4 linked regions of the Danio rerio genome follow. The protein of the gene in region 4 purifies or fractionates together with the protein of the main gene of each other region. This does not show direct contact. Links are inferred from orthologs where the notes say so. Each region holds a gene or a part of one and is shown on either strand. Other genes may lie near its edges.

Region 1 (4,427 bases), on a different chromosome or scaffold from region 4:
CGATATATATTTGGGTGTTTATTACCATAATAATAATCGAGTTGTTATCTTCAGGAATGACCTGCACATTAGAGAAGGTTCTGGCTGATGCCAAATCACTGGTGGAGAGACTCCGGGATCATGACAGTGCTGCAGAGATCCTGATTGAACAAACCACACTGCTCAACAAGAGAGTGGAGGCCATGAAACAGGTCAAATACTCTCTTTTACACTGACGTTAAGTTTGTTTTATATTCACACATTTGTTCAGTGATACGGCCTCTGTATTGTTTAACATGCTACACTGAATATTCGGTCAGAAACTGCATGCAAGTATGACTTCAGAACAACATTAGCACTGTTTAATATGATTCAATCTATTTGCAGGTTCACCGTCATCATTTCAGAACAGTATTATTTGCAAACTGTAAATATGGAAATCTTATTATCAGCCAATGATTATCAAAGCACAACACTATTCACAGTTGATCAAATGGTGCTAATGTTGTTTTGAACTCGTACTAATATACGATTTCAGACCGAATATTATAAGTAGTGTAACCCCGCCGGTCCTGCGCCACCCAACCCATTCTAAGCTGGTATCGACCCGGTGACCTTTTGCATGGGAGTCGGTTGCTCTACCAAGGAGGGTAAAGACCATGGCCTCTAGTGTCTGCCGCTAGAGCACCTTTAAGCCCCGTTCACACAGGGCTTCAGCGTCAACGCTTGACTGAAGGCGTGTCTGAAGTTGGGGCTGACGCGATTGTCATAGCAGCGTCAGCCAATGAAATTCAATCAGCAATAGGCCACTGTCTAGCTGGTGTATTTGCATACAGCAATCTGATTGGCTGACGCTTCTGTCAGTGCTTGAAAAGTTGAGCTAGTCCCAACTTCTGCAGCGAGCAACACCTCTGAAACGGCGCCGACGGATCCACAATACAGTTCGGCAACGCCTGACGTCACAGCTCCTACTGGCTGGCCTCCGTTACTACACTCACCCCCCCTAAACCTCACTCCCATCCGGGTCACGGCACCAATGTAACCACACCAGTATTACATCACCCAACCCGCTCCAAGCTAGTATTGAACCGGCGACCTTCCCCAGTCAGTTGCTCTTTCAAGGAGGCTAAAGACCATGGCCTCTAGCGTCTGTCACTAGAGCACCTTTAGAGCTCAGAGGAGTGAGGTTAACCTGCACAGCACCTACTGGCTGGCCTCCATTACAGTAGCATGCTAAAAACAATATAGGGGCTGCAAAAAACAAACAAACATGCAAATATAAAACTAAATATATCTCAGTAATAAACCTAAATCTCTGCTACATTTTGTATGTTTAATCTCAGGCAGTCACAGCTTACCCTAAATTGAATAGTGTATTTGTCGGTGTATCCTTGTTTGTTTATTTTTTGTTCAATCGTTTGTTGTGATCTCAGTATCAGGAAGAGATCGAGGTGTTAAACCAGGTTGCGAGGCATCGGCCACGCTCAACACTAGTCATGGGCATCCAACAGGAAAACCGGCAAATACGGGAACTGCAGCAAGAAAACAAAGGTGTGTGCTTGGTGTTTTTTTTTTTCCTGCATGCTATTTGAGGCCTGTTTTTAAAGCCCAGTCTCTGTGCAGAGCTGCACACGTCTCTGGAGGAGCATCAGTCTGCGCTGGAGCTGATCATGAGCAAATACAGAGAGCAAGTGTTTCGACTTCTGATGGCCAGCAAAAAAGAGGATCCCACCATCGTCACGCAGCTCAGAGAACAGCACACGAACGTCAGTCCCCCACGCACACACTGAAATTCACTATTAAAAAGCTGCTACACAAATAGTCTCAGGAATCATACTGGAAATCCTTGAAAAACTTCAGTTTTTTTAATCTATAGTGTTTTCAAAGGTTTAAAAAGTGCTTAGATTTTAGGTAAAGTGCTTGCAAATGTAATTGTGCCACTTGCATAATAATAAATGGGTAATAATAACTCACTTTAAATGAATTAAAATTAATATTACAAAGAGTAAATCAGTTTTTCGATATTAGGCTCGGTGCAAACATGCCATTTCTTAGAATACCACACTATACTATAACAGAAAGCAGCTGATATAATGTGATTAAAGCCTGCAAATTTGCCACACTTGTGCATGGCTTGAAAATGCAGCTGGAAAAGTGTAATGTAAAACTAGAACCTAAAGTTCATTGATAAACTTTGATGTTGGCTTGAGAAAGTCAAACGTTTATGGCATTGTTACGTGGTTGCTGAGCAGTTGCTAAATGGCAATGCTCGTGTACATGTTTGATCAAATGCTAATACTTAGTAGGCATTTCTAGCATATGTTATTGCATTTAGATAATCATTCATAGCATGTAGCTAATCGTTATAAGCACTTGGCTTCCATTATCATTGTTACCATGCATAGTACACAGGAAGTCCCATTTGCTAGAATGAGTCAAACAAGCCAATGCCCAAGTCTCTACGATGTTCTGATGTAGAGATATTGCTATTTTTAAATGGTTGCTAGGTTATACTGTTTTAATGCTATGGGGACATTTGACAGGTTAGTGATGATACATCAAAGCTTCTTGGCAATATGAGTGATCTTAATCAACCCCGATGTTTCTATGACAGTCTTTATGAGTGTCAAAAACTGGACTTAAACATTATGTATTCCTGGTGTTGGGTTGCGGCTGGAAGGGCATTCGCTGTGTAAAACAAATGCTGGATAAGTTGGCGGTTCATTCCGTTGTGGCGACCCCTGATTAATAAAGGGACTAAGGGAATGAACATTATGTAAAAATGGCTTGCTGTATTTTTTTGAAAATACAACACTTAATAATTGTGAAGGTGATACATGCAAAAATGGCTTGCCATATCAGTAACAAATATGGAGTTTAAGTCAAAAATGGCTTGCCATATTTTGAGAAAAATAATGCTTAAAAATTATTTATTGAAAAACTATAAATCTGATAAACCTTAAAGATATAGCAACAAAATCTAACGCATCTAAATACAGCTTTTGGCCAAATTTGGGGCTTGTATAATTTTTTTATATGCCCGGATTATAAAAATATAATATTTAACATTTTTTATTTAAAAAAAATGATAAGTCTAACAGGCATGAGGAGATATAGCAACAATCTTGAATGCAGAAGGCACATTTAGACCACATTTGGGCCTTGTGGCATGAACGGCCTTGGAGGAGATACGTTTGTTTTCAAGGACAGAGTAGCATAACAGCATGTTGGCTTTCTCAAGCCAACACAATAACGCTCATTTTGTGAATAATTATATACAATTAATCTAAGCTACAAACATTGAATTTATTGTGCACAAATTGGCTTGCAAAGAATATGCACACAATAATATATACATGCAAATAATAAATAATAATAGGTTAAAATCTAAAATGACTCCACTATGATCTGAACTGTAGGCGTCTCGTCATTTATAATGCCAACTGCACACTGCAGATCCTACTTTTGCAGATTCACTCGTTGCAATATCAATGCTGAAACAATATATTGTGTAGGTGTTAACTGTTACGGTGTTTACGTCACAGGAGATGCAAGCGCACATCGAAAAAATCAACGAAATGGCCACGGTGATGAGGAAAGCCATCGAAGTTGATGAAGGACGACTGTGTGAGGATGAGGAGAGAATCAAACGCCTGGAGGTGACACACGCTTCAGTATAAATCACAGTAACTGGAGTGATATGACTAAAAGTTCCCAATATGAGTCGTTTCATTTCACAATAATGAGATTTATGAGATCATAACCACTTGATTATCTGGTAACACTTTAAAATAATGGTCCATTAGTAGATAATGTGTTTACTAACATAAATAAATAATTATTAATGCATTTATTACTGTATTCATTCATCTTTGTCAATGTCAATCAAGGTAAGATCATTAGTGCACTTGTTAACTTTGGATTTTAGTTGTCCATTAGTGAATGTTGAGCTTTTATTAATTAATGCTTTACAAGAGTGTTCATAGTTATGTAATATTAGTAACTGCATTGACTAATAGGCCATTTTTCTGAGGTGTTACCTGATTATCTTATGCAATGTTTATAGAAAAATATTAACTTGATAAATATGACGTGTTTGAGAACGGACACTGTTGTTTAGTATTTATTACTATTTTAGTATAATTGAAATGCTGTTTAATTGTTTGCATTTGGTTTTAGTTTTAGATTGTCTAGCCTTTTTTAGGACGCTCATTAAAATACTCATTGCAAAAACTGAGGGTTATTACAATTAACTTTTATTACGGAAATAAAATGTACAATATAGTTAAAGTTCTTTGCCTGGTTAAAGGCGAGTTTTAATTTTAGTTTTAAATATTCTATATATGTAGTTTTTTTTTGTTTGTTTTAGTGAGTCAAGTTAAAAAAAATTTAATAATCAAAATCATGTATAATAAATTGACTAAAAAGAATATTAAATATTTCTGTTA
Region 2 (5,166 bases), on a different chromosome or scaffold from region 4:
AAAGTTTATGGTGACCGAACATGGACAGCGGTGTTTTGTCCGTTTTGTGGCAAACACATGAGCAGCTTAACGCAGTTTTGCTTTACGTGTGGTCGGTGTTTGGAGTTTATAAAGGACGCGGACCAGACGGAAACACCAGACATAATCCATCAATGTGTTCAATATTTTAACGAGATCCACTCGTACACTGTAATCGTGAACATGATGTCAAGTCTACACGGTGTAAACATCTGCTTGAGGACTCTTAACAGTAAACTAAATGAAGCCTGTGTTTTGGTTTATCTTGTGTCCGTGTTAACTGAGGCCCCTTTTCAGATGTGCAAACTAATGTTATCTACTATTTCAGATAGGCAGATTCGTCACTTTTTCACAGCAACAAAACATGCCCATTCCGAATAAAGAGTCTTATTACTTGTCAGTGTAAACATTATTGATTTTAATGTTTGTGTAGCAGAACAGTATATAACCAAAATGAATGTAATCATTATAGTTGACATGTCATCAACGGGATTCGAACCCAAGTCAAAAGGTTCTGCACGAGCATCAACCGACTTCTCTATCTAAGCTACTCGCGTCTACAGGTTGAGATCGGTTTTCCGTGTTTACATTTTTTCCATGTACCTGCATTTACATGTTTCTACACACTCTCATGCTGATATTTTCTCAGAATAGCTCTAATATGTTTTATCGCAGTTAGTCAAGCCATGATTTTTATAGTTGAAGACTTGTGGAAACCTGTCTACAAAGTCACACACGAGCTGGATATTATAGGGTATATGCCGAGCTAGTGCTGTTCCCATGCTGATACACTTCCGGTGACCTGTTATTGTGAACTTTTTTTCCATTTTATACGGTTCCTTATACAGCATCGATGTTGTAATGTCATTAAAATACATTCAGTTAAATAAACTTTAGCATTTATGTGGTTGCTCAAGCGTAAAACGAGACAAAAAGCTGTTTACTCGCACGCGCCCGTCAGAATCGGCAGGCTAACGCAGAAGCTCTGAATATACTGGGGTAAAATAAATGCTCATATTATAAAGATATGGCGGGGGAGATGTAATTTAATGCAGTGCTTCTTGTACAATCTGAGACCCACTTTAAATCGGATACCACTCAGCTAGTGGAGATCGTTCATTTTTAAAGAAAACAGACCTTAAACGCACCGGATTTTGCATTTGCATTCAATTCGCCGGAAACGCTTAACCCAGGTTACTAGCAAATTAAAAATCCTATTAGCATGCTTCGGCATATACCCCATTGATATTTTCTAGTGTGTGTGTTACATTCCGGGTCACTTCCGGTGTGTGGTACATTCCCTTTCCGTAAGAAATCTGTAATTGTAAATTTGTTTCGGGACTTGTAAAAGTGTTTTGCGTCTTGTTAGTTTGTTTTCTAAATTGTAAATTTGTTTCGTCCTTGGTAAAATTGTTTTTCCTCTGTAATTGTGTCTGATGACAGGTAAAAATGTTTTTCAAAATGTAAATTTGTCTCGAGCTTTGTAAAAGTGTTTCAAACTTTGTAATGTTGTTGTGCACTTCTCGGCCACCGTAGTTATCAAGCATAGTTACACATTACAATTTACTTCGTTCAGTTGGCGGAGGATAAACATGAGGAGCTCACACAGAAAGGCCTGAACGAGAAGAAGGAGCTGCAGATGCGGATCGAGGAGATGGAGGAGAAGGAGCAGGCGCTTCAGGCCCGAATCGAAGCTCTGCAGGCTGACAACGACTTCACCAATGAGAGACTGACAGCTTTGCAAGGTAAAACACGATGTCTGTTGTTGCTCGCGCTGGCTTGAAAACGCACACTTTCGTTTCTTGGTAACTACAAGGATGAGTGAGGTTGAGGAGGAGCATCTTTCAGCTTTTAATTTCTGGTCATCCCGAATGTTCTCGTTGTCACTTTGCAGTTCGGTTAGAGCAGCTGCAGGAGAAAAGCATAAAGGAAAACAACAGTTTAGGTGAGTTGGCGACGCATGTGTCTGCTAGTGTGCTGCTAACCTCGCATCTCCTCTGACTAATTCAGCATGGGAGCTCGCCTTCGGTTGCCTTGTTTTTCACCTTTATTTCTGTCCCTTCTTCTTTCTTTCTGTCTGGCTTTGCTTCTGTTTTGACCTGTTCTGTCTCGAAGGCCTTGATCTTCTGCATTGAGCATGTGTGTTTAAGTTTACACCACTGCATACAGTCTAGGAATGATATTTAAAGGGAACCCAGGGTATTAAAGGAGTGATGGTTCAGCTAAAAATGTGATTTTCTCACTATTTACTCATCCTTATGTGGTTTAAGAGTTTATGTTGTTCTGTTAAGCACAATAGAACGTATTTGGAAGAAACTGACAACCTGTAACCATTGACTTTCATACAACCCAAAATCAGAAAAGTTAGGACAGTACGTAAACCGAACATAAAGGAAGTGATTTCTAGATTTACTTTGACTTGTGTTGCAGACGATTTAACAAACATTATTTATTGTGTTCCTTATGATTTTCTTAGTTTTTTTTTCTTCTTTTAAAATAAACATTCCAATTCTGGTTCTTGCAACACATTTTACCTTTACCTAATTGTTACTCGTGTGAATAAGCACTGATTTGCCTGGGATTTCAGGCATTTGTCAGTGATTTCTCAACCTGCTGGCGATTCAAAATCAATGCAGTCTGAACTCAGCATTAAGCTTGCACTCTTGTCCTTTATCCACTGAAATTCCTTCAGACCCCTTGAATCTTTTAATTATGTTAGGCACTGTTGAAGGTGAAATATCTTAATGTCTTCCTATGTTTCTTTGAGGAACATTGTTTTTCATTCATTCATTCATTTTCTTGTCGGCTTAGTCGCTTTATTAATCCGGGGTCGCCACAGCAGAATGAACCGCCAACTTATCCAGCAAGTTTTTAAATCAGCGCATGCCCTTCCAGCCGCAACCCATCTCTGGGAAACATCCACACACACATTCACACACACACTCATACACTACGGGGAATTTAGCCAACCCAATTCACCTGTACCGCATGTCTTTGGACTGTGGGGGAAAACGGAGCACCCGGAGGGAACCCACGCGAAGGCAGGAAAAACATGCAAACTCCACACAGAAACCCCAACTGAGCCGAGGTTTGAGCCAGCGACCTTCTTGCTGTGAGGCGACAGCACTACCTACTGCGCCACTGCCTCGCCTACATTGTTTTTCAATGTTTCAGTTTTATCAAGTGTTTGTTGGCAAACTGGCGATCCTCGGCCCATCTTTGCTCCTAAAGCACTGGACCTTTATTGGATGCTACTTTTGTACCAAACAATAATTACAATCACCTGTTTCAGATCACATCATTAATCCAATTTACCTGATTACTAGACCTAAATTGCTCCTGTCGTAATTTTTTTGAAATGTGTTGCAAGAGTTAAGATTGAAATGCATGTTTATTTTAGAAAAAAAAACAATAAAAATCACACATTAAATAATGTTTATCATGTTGTCAGCATTGAAATACAAGCCAAAGTAAATTTAGAAATCATTAGCATATTCCATACTCTGCCAACCTTTTTTGATTTGGGGTTGTAAAACATACTATGGGAGTCAAATGTTTGCAGGTTTCCAGCTTTCTTCAGAACATCTTCTCTTATGTTTAACAGAATAATGTCAAATAGGTTTTACAGAGGCAGAGAATGAGTAAACAATGGCAGAATTTTAATTTTTGTGTGAACTGTTCTTTTAAGGAATACAAGCCTTAATACCCAGGACTCTCTACAAATTTGTCTCTCCCCATTTGGTCGTTTGTCACCAAGTTTTCCCTGTGAGCTTTTTTCACTTAGTATATATGAAGAAAGGTGTCTCTAAATCAGTTTTGCTGTCAACTGGTTGGCCTTTTTAGTTAGTTATTCTAGATGCTTTCAGGACTTTGACTCATTTTAATCTGCTACGTTGCTAATAATTGATTTAATGTCATTAGTCAGTGTTTAATTAGGCTTGGCACTAAACTCTGCCGGATTATCCATTGTGTCTTTTGTGGTTAGCACACAGCAGGGCATTACGCTTTGAAATGGAGCTCAAGAATTGCTTGGTGATTTATATTTCTCATGCAATAATATAAGAAGCAGCATCTCAGAAATGAAACTACTGATGTGGTGTGCCACACACCACAAACCTCCTGGCAGAAACACACCTCTCTCTGAGCATTTCTTTTTATAGTTGATTTTTATAAAATCTGCTGATATCAAGAATTATTAGGATAGAGTAAATGTGTTTTTTCCCAGTAAGAACTTTGTAGAGAAAATCAGCCTGTGCAAATCTGACACTGACTGAAAATTAAGACTTTTCTTTTATTTGGTGCCAGTATTTGTGCTTTTTAACCACCAGGGATGTGCATGTCAGTAAGATTTTTTACTGTAAGGCATAGTTGTACGCTACCTGACAAAAGTCTTGTTGTAGAAGCAACAATAATAACTTGACTTCTAGTTGATCATTTGGAAAAGTGGCAGAAAGTGGATTTTTTCAGATGAATCATCTGTTGATCTGCATCCCAATCATCACAAATACTGCAGAAGACCTACTGGAACCCACATGTACCCAAGATTCTCATAGAAATCAGTCAAGTTTGGTGAAGGAAAAATCATGGTTTGGGGTTATATTCAGTATGGGTGTGTGCGAGAGATCTGCAACATCAACAGCGTGAGGTATCAAGACATCTGTGCTGCCCATTACATTACAAACCACAGGAGAGGGACAATTCTCCAGCAGGATAGCGCTCCTTCTCATACTTCAGCCTCCACATCAAAGCTCCTGAAAGCAAAGGTCAAGGTGCTCCAGGATTGGCCAGACCAGTCACCAGACATGAACATTATTAAGCATGTCTGGGGTAAGATGGAGATTAAAAATGAACCCAACGACTCTTGATGAACTCTGGGAGTCCTGCAGGAATGCTTTCTTCACCATTCCAGATGACTTTATTAATCAGTGATTTGAGTCAGTGCAGAGTATGGATGCAGTCCTCCAAGCTCATGATGGAGTCAGACACAATATTCATTCTGTCTCCACTGCAGCAGGACTTTATATTCTATACTGGACATTATTTCTGTTCAGACACAAGACTTTTGTCTAAGCAAAGTCGGACCTTACTGTCCTGATGAAATATTTAAAAATCAAGGCATGATCATATTTTATTGTGGTCAAATAAGCG
Region 3 (4,785 bases), on a different chromosome or scaffold from region 4:
GGTCTGTGTAGGTCTACAGAACCAAGTACAAGCAGCTTCTGCACGAGCTGAGAGAGGATCATGTGAGCTCTACTGATGCTCATATTGGCTGTCGCTCAAGAAAGTCGCTCTTTATTTGCATAAAGTTGAAGGATCCTTAACTTTGTCGCGTCGCTTTATACGCCCACATAAACCACTTTTACACAGTGATACCAGTAAATGTACGGAAAATTTCCGGGCTGACTTTACCGGTAAATTAAAAAATGCACTGTTCACACAGGCACGGACGTTATGGCATTTTTCTGGAAAAGACCGTTCACACATCTATTCCAAAATACCAGTGAATTCTGACATCATTAATCAGAAATGGCCTCTAAACGACTGCGCTTGTATTTTTAAACATTTGACTACATTACAGATTTTGTGGATGGATAAGTATTGTGAACAACTTCGATGAAAACATATGGAGGAATACTTTCGCATGTCAAGATGTACATAATATGTGCGACTCACCGGCTGCTTCACGTGCACACGCATCAAGCAACTGAAGCAGGCTTATCATAAGTATTTTATTGATAATGTTTTTACACCGTTGGCATTAAGGAACACTGAAACATTATCTGACTAAAATCTAGCAGCTAAATGGATCTGGAAAAATATTCAAAGGCTTTTATTTTCATAAACAGCGCAGATGTGAATGTGCCTGAATGTTCTGATTGGCTAGAGTAGACGTCTCATGTCAGCGCTTTCTAAACATGAACACGCTCTTTCCGGCAATTTTCCTTCTGCGTTCAATCAGTGCAGCATTCCAGCAAATTACCAGTAATGTTACAACTTCTCTCTCTGGAAAATTGCTAGAATTAATTTACCAGTATTTTCAAAAAGGGCCTGTTCACACATACAAAGGTTTTTATGTGTGAAAGGAGCTTTTGTCGCCAACGGTTGTTGTCACTAACGTGGACAGAGGTCGCCTGAAGTCACTCCCTCTTGTTGAAATTAGCGGTCACTTGTCGCTTTGCTGATGCGAGCCGCTCGTAGTGTGAACGCAAGCTTAAGTCTCAGATGTTGTACTCAAAAGTACAAATTGTCATTTTATTGTAAATCAGTGGTTCTCAAACATTTTTCATCAAGTACCACCTTAGAAATAAGTTGTCTTTGCAAGTGCCACCATAATGAGCAGTATTGAAATACAGTAGCGTATTAGGTCCAGTAAAGCAGCTAAAGTGTATGCATATTAGTTCCTATTATTAAGACATTTAAATTTAAATGTGGTTTTAAAAACTAAAAATGGTAACTTACTGTTCTTAAAAAGTAAAATAAAGAAAAAAAATCCTGGTTTATCAGCACCTGGAAATGTTGCCTAGACCTCATAAATATAGGCTTTATGTCATCATATTCATATATTAATCTTTTTTGATAATTTACTTAAATATATGTTGCATGTACATATGACATATTTGATTCATCCGCTTACCACTAGAAGGAAGCCCGCGTACCACTAGTGGTACACGTACCACAGTTTGAGAACCACTGTTGTAAATAGTCAGCATATTTAAATCACAATGTTAGCAACCATTTAAAATGAAAAATCCAGCCAAAATGTTAATTCCTTTTTTACCCATTTATTTTTTAGTTTCTAAGCATTATTACTCTAAACTGTTTTTGTATCTGTATCATTTCCTGTAAAGAAAATTAAGTTTTAATGTTGTAAATTAAGTTTGTGAAAGAGAAATAACTTTTTAGAATTACGTTATAACATTTCTATAAATGTAAATTATTATTTAATCTATACATTTTTTAAAAATATAATTTTCCCATTTAAAATGTGACTCTTCTCCAGTTACATCATGTATGTAAATCCAACATAAAATAAAAGTTGCTATTTTCTAGATTGGTATGGCTCAGAACTATACTCTCTGTCTGGCTTAATAATCAAGAAACTTTGTTGCTGTATTATGGCTCCAGCAGGCACAATGATATTATGTGGCTCCTGAAAATAGTCTCTAGCTAGGTAACAAAGTAACAGTGTTGCGTAATATCATTGCTCCTGCTGCAGCCATGCTACGGCAGCAAAGTTTCCTGATTTTTACGCCAAAATGAGAGTATAGTGCCAATCCATATCGACCTATGGCTCCATCCCATCACTTTTAGCACACCAAGTAACTCAAATGTTTAACTCTGGGAAATTCCACAAATGGAGTGTTCCTCTTACTTAAGCTTTAAAGGAGGCCTAGCTCACTTATTCATTTTAGAACAGAGCGCATATACAATATAAACTACTATACACTCGACTTTTCTTTCTTTTAAAATGTTTTTTGTTCATTGCTTTGAAAAGACTGACAGTGTTCACACTTCTCCTCGGCGAGTGATGAGGCCCAGGTCCCATCTACCTGTCCCGAGCAGCAGAGGATCTCAGCAGATGATCAGCAGCAGCTCTTCCCTTCAGACTCACAGCAGAGCCTCCACCAGCAGCAGCAGAACAAGGCAGCCCCCGTCCAACAACAACACAAACAACCTCTCACAAGACCACATCTGGTTCCTGGACCCCAACTCTAATGAAAACTACAGTACCCACGGATAGACTCCACCCACTGCCCTCCCTGTGCCCTCAGCCTGTCCTCCCCCTCAGTTTTGTGAAGTTAGGTTACTGGCAGCATTTTAGTATTTGTACATGTTGTCCATAATTGTTACACTATATTACATTGTGTACTTTGGGACCATAGTTTTAATATATTCAGCTGTTTAAGAAAAAAGAAAATAAGAGAAAGACTGCTTGAACACTTTACAATTTGCCTTTTAGGTCAAATGTTTTGGATCAAAGTAAGAGCTAGTGGTCTTTTTGCTCTTTAGTATTTTCAATCAACTGTGTATTACGTTTAAATAAGTGAAAGGTGAGTTTTAAAAACTGTCGAAATCAGGGTTTTACCAAATATGTGTAAATAAGAACCGGGAACTTAAATGTTGTATAGATTATAGTGTGTGTGAGTGTGTGTGTGTGCGCGTGTGCGTGTGATTTTTGTGCTTGTACATTGGAGGAATTTTGAAGGGAAAATGAGAACTGTATATATCGTTTGTAATATTAAATTTGGGTTCATATTTTTTCACTTGTTTCCAAATGAACTGAATGTGGCAATAAGTACCGCCATCGCGAACACAGGATATTTCATTTTTGTCCGTTAAGCCATAATTATTAGTATTTTCAATTGCTCTCACGCGTGCTCGGTTACTTACGTCGTGAAGCCTGACTAATTGGAAGCGGCGCGCATTTAAACATTTTCGTTTGTCTCCTGTATTGAACACTTAGGATAATCAAGTATTCTTTTCAAGTCAGTATTGTTCATATGTACAGAAGAGATTATAGTTGACCTCTGATGTTTAACTGTATTATAGTTGTCGGACGAGGTTCAGAGAAATTGTCCTGTTTCCTCCAAGCACAACGATTAAAAATGCACTACTCTAGAAATCACCTCAGCTCTTGGGTTTTCTTTATACACGCAGCTAATGCTAACATTGTCCAAGACATCACTTCAGCTTTATACACACAGCTCCAGCTAACATAGTTTGTAGTTGATGCTAACCTTATCATAAATCCCCTTACCCCTTGGGATTTCTTTTAACAACAGCTAATGCTAACATATATTGTCCAATAAATTGCTTCAGCTTCTTGGTTTTCATTTTCCACATAGCTAATGCTAAATTCATCCTATAAAATCCCCTCAGCTTTTTGGTTTTCCTTCACCACACAGCTGATGTTAGCATTGTGTTTGCAGCTAATGCTAGTTATAAACATTGCCATATATTGGGGTTTCTTTTTTCACACTGCTAACATTGTGTTTATACAGTGCCTGAGATTTCTATGCTAACATATCCCTGCTGAAAAATCCAGCTTAAACCTGCCTAGGCTGGTTGGCTGGTTTTAGCTGTTTGACGAGGCTGGTTTTAGAGAGGTTTTGGCCATTTCCAGGCTGGTTTAAGCTGGACATAGCTGGTTTTGGCTGAGCTCCCAGCCTGGCTAAGCTGGTTTTAGCTGGTCATCTCCCAGCCTGACCAGCTAAGACCAGGCTGGAACTGGCCAAAACCCCTCTAAAACCAGCCTGGTCGACCAGCTTAAACCCCCCCCCAACCAGCCTATGCTGGTTTAAGCTGTTTTTTTCAGCAGGGATTGTGTTTGCAGCTAATGCTAGAACTTTATCAGCTCTTGGGTTAGCTAACATTTCAAATGCTATTGTTAGCATTGTCAAACAAACTCACAGCTCTTGGATTTTCTTTTTACACACAGCTAATGCTAACATCCAAGACATCACTTCAACTTTTTTTTCTTTTTCCACACAGCTCATGCTAATATAGTATTTGTCATTATTGCTAACATTGTCATTAAGCACTTTAGCTCTTGGGATTTGTTTAATAACATTTAAGGATAATATTGTCCAAAAAGTCCCTGCTGAAAAAAAAACAAGGGGTTTGGCTATTTCCAGCCTGGTCTTAGCTGGTCAGGCTGGAAAATAAGCTTGACCAGGTGGGATCACTTCAGCTGCTGGGTTTTCATTCTCCTAATGCTAAAATTCTCTATATCATCCAATAAATCCGCTTTTTGGTTTTCCTTCACCACACAGTCGATTTTAACATGCAGCTAAGTTATAAACATTCCCATATCTTGGGGTTTCTTTCAGCTATTGTTAACATTGTGTTTATGTAAGATATCACCTCCTGAGATTTCTTTCTACAAACAACTAACGAATGCTAACATTGTGTTTGCAGCTAATGCTAGTTCTACTTTGCATCAGCTCTTGGATTAGTTAACATGTG
Region 4 (5,799 bases):
TGAAAATGTATTAAGGAATGCATACTCTGCAGACACTTAATAATACTATTTTGTGACCAGCCAAGTGCATTTAAATATTATATATTCAATTTAAAGTTTGCAATATTTAGTTTGAAAAAAAAAAACATTTCTGATCCATATTTGCCTGCATTTACACAATTTGACCACCAGGTGTACATAGCTTGTGTTAACTTCTATTTATTTTGCAAAGCAATTGGTTCAATTGTTTTGATGGCCTGAAAAGCTTCGTTTCTCCCATTACTAGAAATAATGCTTATTCCATCATTAAGCTTCCAGACCTCCAACGTAATTCAGCTTTTCTTTTTCTCATACTTAATCTCTGATTTTGAAGACCTCCTTAAAGGTGGAGATCCTCAGCCAACAATGGCTCCTGCAACGTTCATTTAGGATGAAGATGAACTGAATTTTTTTTGTACTTGGGATGGCAGATTGCTCGAACATCCTGAGGGCAAACCAGTCATATGGCCCGGCATATATAGAGACCAAACCAAGTGACCCAGTTCTGATGGCTTGTCTCTGGAGACATCTCTCTAACAACACTCTTTCCTTTTGTGTCTACCCTTCCACTTCACGACTTCCTTTCATTCTTGGATCTTCATGCATGATCTTGGATGACTTCAGCTTCATAAAGGACGTCCCAGAAAGGTTACAGTGGTGCTAATGCTCTCCAGAGAACAACAACATCAAGATTTTAATATTTAATGGGCATGCTTTCTAAATTGTTGACTTCCAGGCTTAGATGATGATGAAGGATGTAGGGCTTCTTCTGTTAACCATAATGTTTGATGTGTTTTCGCATTAATATTTTAAAATCGAACCTAATCAAGCCAACTCAAGTCAACCAAAGGCTTTGAGGAACCCCCAGTCGTCCACAAAAGTGAATAGCTAGATAGTAGAAAGGTTTATGTTAAAGTTGGTTCTAAAAAAGGTAATAATGAATTAATGTATTAACATTTTAGCGAATAACCAATGATGAGCAGTTGAATTATTAGAAAATAATGCCCCCGAGGTGGTATATTTTCTAAAAATTCATCAAACCGCAGTCAATAATTCAGAACATTTGACATGCTTTTGTCCTCAAACTGTTCCTGTGTGTATGGCAAGTTTCTATTGCTTCTTATCGAGGTAAAGTTGGTTGTATATGCACATATTCATTTATTTTAACAGTGCCTATATTGTTTACTACGCTAATTTGAATATTTGGCCTGAAGTTGCATTCAAGTTTGACTTCACAACAACATTAGCACTGCTTAATTCACTGTGAACTACGGTTGTCACGATACTATTAATTAATCTCACAATACTTTACCAGCTAAAGTATCACAATACCAACAAGTAGTATTCCGATACTGTAATTCATAACTCAAATTATAAAGAAAATGGTCAGAAATGCTATATTTTATGTTATAGTCGGCCTACTTGAATTTAATTCATAATTCCCTTAAGGCCAGAAAGTATTATTTGCACCTCACTTCACCTAAAATTTACTCATTATTTTTGTTTATTTTGTAGATAACTGACCAACAAAAAAATACACTAAAGTTACAAATTATACCAAATGAAATTTGTTATAAAAGAGCATTTTCCCCCAACAAAATTAGGCTACAGGAAGTGATCAAAAATTTCAATGTTTCCAGTTACTACTTTGGGTTTTTCATCTATTTTTTTTCAGTCTTATCAGGTAACAAGCCAAAGTACTTAAAATTTTCACTTTGTGAGTCGTTTGTTTGAAGAGGTTGTCACAGTTGTTGTAGCTACTAAATCATATAAACAAGAACAGAAATGTACCTTTTCAGATGCGAGTTCGAACTAAAGCATTAGAAATCGTGAAATGGGTTACCATAAAAGCGCAAATTCTACACAGTTTTGCAACCTCAATGGCCTCCACAGACTATTAAAATAAAATGTTTTTTGTTGCACAAGCGTGTGTGCATTTTAATGACTTTACCACTTGCAACATTATCTATTGTAGATAAACCATTAATGGCGATATTATCGTTAACAAACTACAGTGGCACCGCCAGTATTTTGGAGCCATAGTATCGCGATACTAAACCGTGCAACCCTATTGTGAACAATGTTGTACTTTGATAGTCTTTGGCGGCTAATATTATTTCACTATATAGAATTCGCAAGTAATACATTTCAGAAATGATATTATCAAGGAGAAAGTCTAAATGTGCGAAAGTAAAGTTGGTTTTATAATCGCACATTTGTTCTGTGACAACTTGTAACATAGTCCCTATATTGTTTACCATATTACTTTAAATATATTCTGTCTGTAATCAGAAGCATGACTTCAAACCAGCATTAGCACTATTTTTTTTTTTTTACTTTAAACGATGTTGTTTTTAAACTGCTAATATGATTTGCCCTTTTAGAATTAGAAAATACTTTTTCAGAAATTTTATTATTAAGAAGAAAGTCCAAATTTGTGATTATAAAACCAACTATACCCTTAATTCGTTTCTAATCCAAAACGTTTTGTTTTATACAAAATTGGACCTTTTAACACTTTCAAAGGCAGTCAACCCCATTTTGGCTATTTTGCAACTTATCAGAAAGTAGGAACTCTTTACAGACATTAAGAAACTCACACACGTACGTAGTGTTAAAGTGTAAACGATTCACAAAATAGTAGAAATGATGCTGAGTGTATCTTTACCTGCATCCCAGGCAGACTGCCCTGCACTGGAGAATGAGCCATGGCGTCACTTTAACCACTAAAACTGGCCAGCAAGTCAGCAAAAAAAATACTGTTTCCGGACAAGATACAGCTAATGCACCCCTGTATCCCGTGTGCCCGAGTTTTAATGCGGTCTCGGATCTTTTAAAACTGGATAATGGCGTAAAGAGCATCCACGGAGGGACAGAAAGTGCATGTGAAAGATGACTGGCGTGAAAAGCTCTCCTCCACTTCCGCAGCTTTAATGAGAACCGCCGCTCTTCCTCGCGGAAATCACCGCAAACAGCAATCAAAACAGCGTCGATCCGACTGATCGCAGAGTTTCAGTCGATGAAGCGCGCGATCTGAGGCGGGAACGCTCTTTTGAGGACTCCTGGAGTGGGTTTTGGAGGTTCACGCAGGCCAGATCGCTCGTCAAGAGTTGATGGTCCTCTTTGCGCAAACGGATTTCCAAAACATAGCGCAGAAACATGCGCGCGTTTGGGTAAAAATGCCCCGGTTTTGCCTCCTGAAGCAGATGCACGGATCATGAACTATATCGAGGAGTCTTTGAAGGGATGGCTGGTGAAAATCCCGACTTGTTTAAACTGAAGAAATGATGTTGACATCCTCACTTCACTTCCCAGCTGGCCGCCATCTTGTCCGTGCTGTCATCGGGACATCAGGGCGGATCCGGACCCGTGAGGTCCCGCCCCGGTAGAAGAGAGGAGGAGTTTGAAACTCTAATCATGGTAGAGAGCACATGCAGTCAGCAATTCATACAAGCTTAATGTCAAGTGAGTTCACTTGTCTTTTTATCACTATAACAATTATATTGAAAAAATATATAGACAAAAAACTTTTGTTAATGTTGTAAATAGAACAAAAAAATACTTGAATTTTTTGCACTTTTTGTGTTTGCATTTTCCTTAAACCTGTGGAGTCAAACTCAACTGGAGGGCCGCAGCACAAGTTCCAGCCCTGCTTGAACACACCTATCCAGGCCAGGTGGTTGTTTTTTTCTTAAGCAGTTGAGCTTTTTGCAACTATTTGTCTTGTTATATATTTATTAATGAAATTTGAATACTGTATTTTTGTGACATATTAAGCACTATTTTTAGCTGGATTAGCTTGTCAGGGGGTCACCATAACCACACTTTTGAGGTACGAAAAGCGTTTGCTAAATATATAGAATGAAGAAATATGAAAAAATACTTATTTAAAAATGCTAATTTATTATATCAGATTAATATTTAAAGAAATTGAGTTCAAGTTAAAGATTTAAATGAAAAAAAAAAAAAAAACAGGAGCCTATTGTTATTTAATGGGCAATAACAAACTGGCCAGCTCATTCAACTTTCCTTGGTTAGAATTTGTCCTTCTAAATGATAAAAAAAAATAAAACAATAATATTGATAATGTAGTACTTAACAGCGACACAGTGGCGCAGTAGGTAGTGCTGCCGCCTCACGGCAAGAAGGTCGCTGGTTCGAGCCTCGACTGGGTCAGTTGGCATTTCTGTGTGGAGTTTGCATGTTCTCCCTGCGTTTGCATGGGTTTACTCCGGGTGCTCCGGTTTCTCCCACTGTCCAAAAACATGCAGTACAGGCGAATTGGGTAGGCTAAATTGTCCGTAGTATGAGTGTGAATGAGTGTGTATGGATGTTTCCCAGAGATGGGTTGCAGCTGGAAGGGCATCTGCTGCGTAAAACATATGCTGGATAAGTTGGCGGTTCATTCTGCTGTGGCGACCCCAGATTAATAAAGGGATTAAGCTGAAAAGAAAATGAATGAATGGAGCTTAACTTTTTGAAAGTTCATGGATAACAAAAATAGCCTATTTAGTATAAAAATTTACTTTAACATGGGCCGCTTTTGGTGCTTCAAACCTTTTTATTTGACTTTTTTCTTTCAAGAATAAGGTCCAAGATTCAGATTAAAAGTTGACTTCACTTTCAACAAGTTTTCTTGCACAGCTGGATGTTGGAATCGTGTAAAATGATTGTTTAGATTTATTGGAAGCCTTCTTTGATGGGTTATTTTCATACTTTATGATGGCATAGCAGTCAAAATAAGACAAGTGAGCTCATGTTTGGGCCAATACTGGACCTTTTATCAGCAGTGGTAGGGGGGTGGGGTCTCTGGACCACTCGAACCCCCTCTGTCTACGGGCCTGCTATCTGTAGGTATCAAACAGACCTAAAGGACTCAATTAGTTTGTTCAGGAGTGTTTCATTGGGGCTGGAACTAAACTGTGCAGCGCTGCGGCCCTCCAGGAACTGAGCATGACACATGTGCCTAAGTGGTTCCCAAAGTGGGGGTCGCAAAAAAATGGGGAGAGTTTATATGTTATTAAATTATCAGAATAACTGTATTTTATTGATAACCTACAGAAGATAAAAATAACTTCGAATATATTTATAAAACAACATAAATCAACAACATGTAAATAAAAAGCCATTGGCCTTTACATGTTTTCCATTGGATTGCGACCCCTGGGGTTATTATGCTAGATTAATGTCACAGCAATAGCGTTAGTTGCAGAAGATTGATTTTACGGCACAATGTTTAACTTTAACACCTTTACATACATTAAAAATAAAGCCCACGACTGAACATGGAGGAAGATTATTTAATGTTTATTGTTGTGCTTCTATTTTAGGTGTGACTTTTTAACATTCTTTAAGGGGTCTACGGATGAAAAATAGCCATTCTTGGCTAATTCTGGCACATTTTACAGTAATGTTTATTAATGTGCATTGACCCTGTAAACAAATAAACTAAACTAAACTAAGATCTCCAAGTAGCGGTCTCCAAAATTATACCAAGAATAGTCTTGTGCTGTACATTGTGCCCACTGCTCACCATTCTCATTAAGTGAGGTTAATATTAAATTAAATGAATATACATTCATTCATTTACTTTTCAGCGTAGTCCTTTATTAATCTGGGGTTGCCACAGCATAATGAACCACCAACTTATCCAGCATATGTTTTACAGTGGATGCCCTTTCAGCTGCAACCCATCACTGAGAAACAGTCATACACACTCATTCACACACATACACTACGGACAATTTGCCTATAGCTCATGTATTTGGACCTATGGGGGAA

Evidence for each region.
Region 1: the proteins of stk24b (region 4) and fgfr1op2 purify together in Homo sapiens (affinity purification with mass spectrometry; 4 studies listed by BioGRID and IntAct, with this or other methods). This does not show direct contact. The link is inferred for Danio rerio from reciprocal best matches to the Homo sapiens genes STK24 and FGFR1OP2.
Region 2: the proteins of stk24b (region 4) and slmapa purify together in Homo sapiens (affinity purification with mass spectrometry; 6 studies listed by BioGRID and IntAct, with this or other methods). This does not show direct contact. The link is inferred for Danio rerio from reciprocal best matches to the Homo sapiens genes STK24 and SLMAP.
Region 3: the proteins of stk24b (region 4) and cttnbp2 purify together in Homo sapiens (affinity purification with mass spectrometry; 3 studies listed by BioGRID and IntAct, with this or other methods). This does not show direct contact. The link is inferred for Danio rerio from reciprocal best matches to the Homo sapiens genes STK24 and CTTNBP2.

Annotation. Positions count from the first base shown.
Region 1 is NC_133179.1:2,051,893-2,056,319, forward strand, and holds part of fgfr1op2 (FGFR1 oncogene partner 2 homolog), read left to right. Parts: intron 1-54; 5' UTR 55-56; coding exon 57-191; intron 192-1,412; coding exon 1,413-1,530; intron 1,531-1,602; coding exon 1,603-1,745; intron 1,746-3,524; coding exon 3,525-3,638; intron 3,639-4,427. UniProt on the Homo sapiens protein: May be involved in wound healing pathway.
Region 2 is NC_133186.1:44,671,225-44,676,390, reverse strand, and holds part of slmapa (sarcolemma associated protein a), read left to right. Parts: intron 1-1,594; coding exon 1,595-1,763; intron 1,764-1,912; coding exon 1,913-1,963; intron 1,964-5,166. UniProt on the Homo sapiens protein: Associates with the striatin-interacting phosphatase and kinase (STRIPAK) core complex, forming the extended (SIKE1:SLMAP)STRIPAK complex.
Region 3 is NC_133193.1:22,112,755-22,117,539, reverse strand, and holds the end of cttnbp2 (cortactin-binding protein 2), read left to right. Parts: intron 1-2,314; coding exon 2,315-2,560; 3' UTR 2,561-3,442; downstream 3,443-4,785. UniProt on the Homo sapiens protein: Regulates the dendritic spine distribution of CTTN/cortactin in hippocampal neurons, and thus controls dendritic spinogenesis and dendritic spine maintenance.
Region 4 is NC_133181.1:13,466,069-13,471,867, reverse strand, and holds the start of stk24b (serine/threonine-protein kinase 24), read right to left. Parts: upstream 3,320-5,799; 5' UTR 2,729-3,319; coding exon 2,687-2,728; intron 1-2,686. UniProt on the Homo sapiens protein: Serine/threonine-protein kinase that acts on both serine and threonine residues and promotes apoptosis in response to stress stimuli and caspase activation.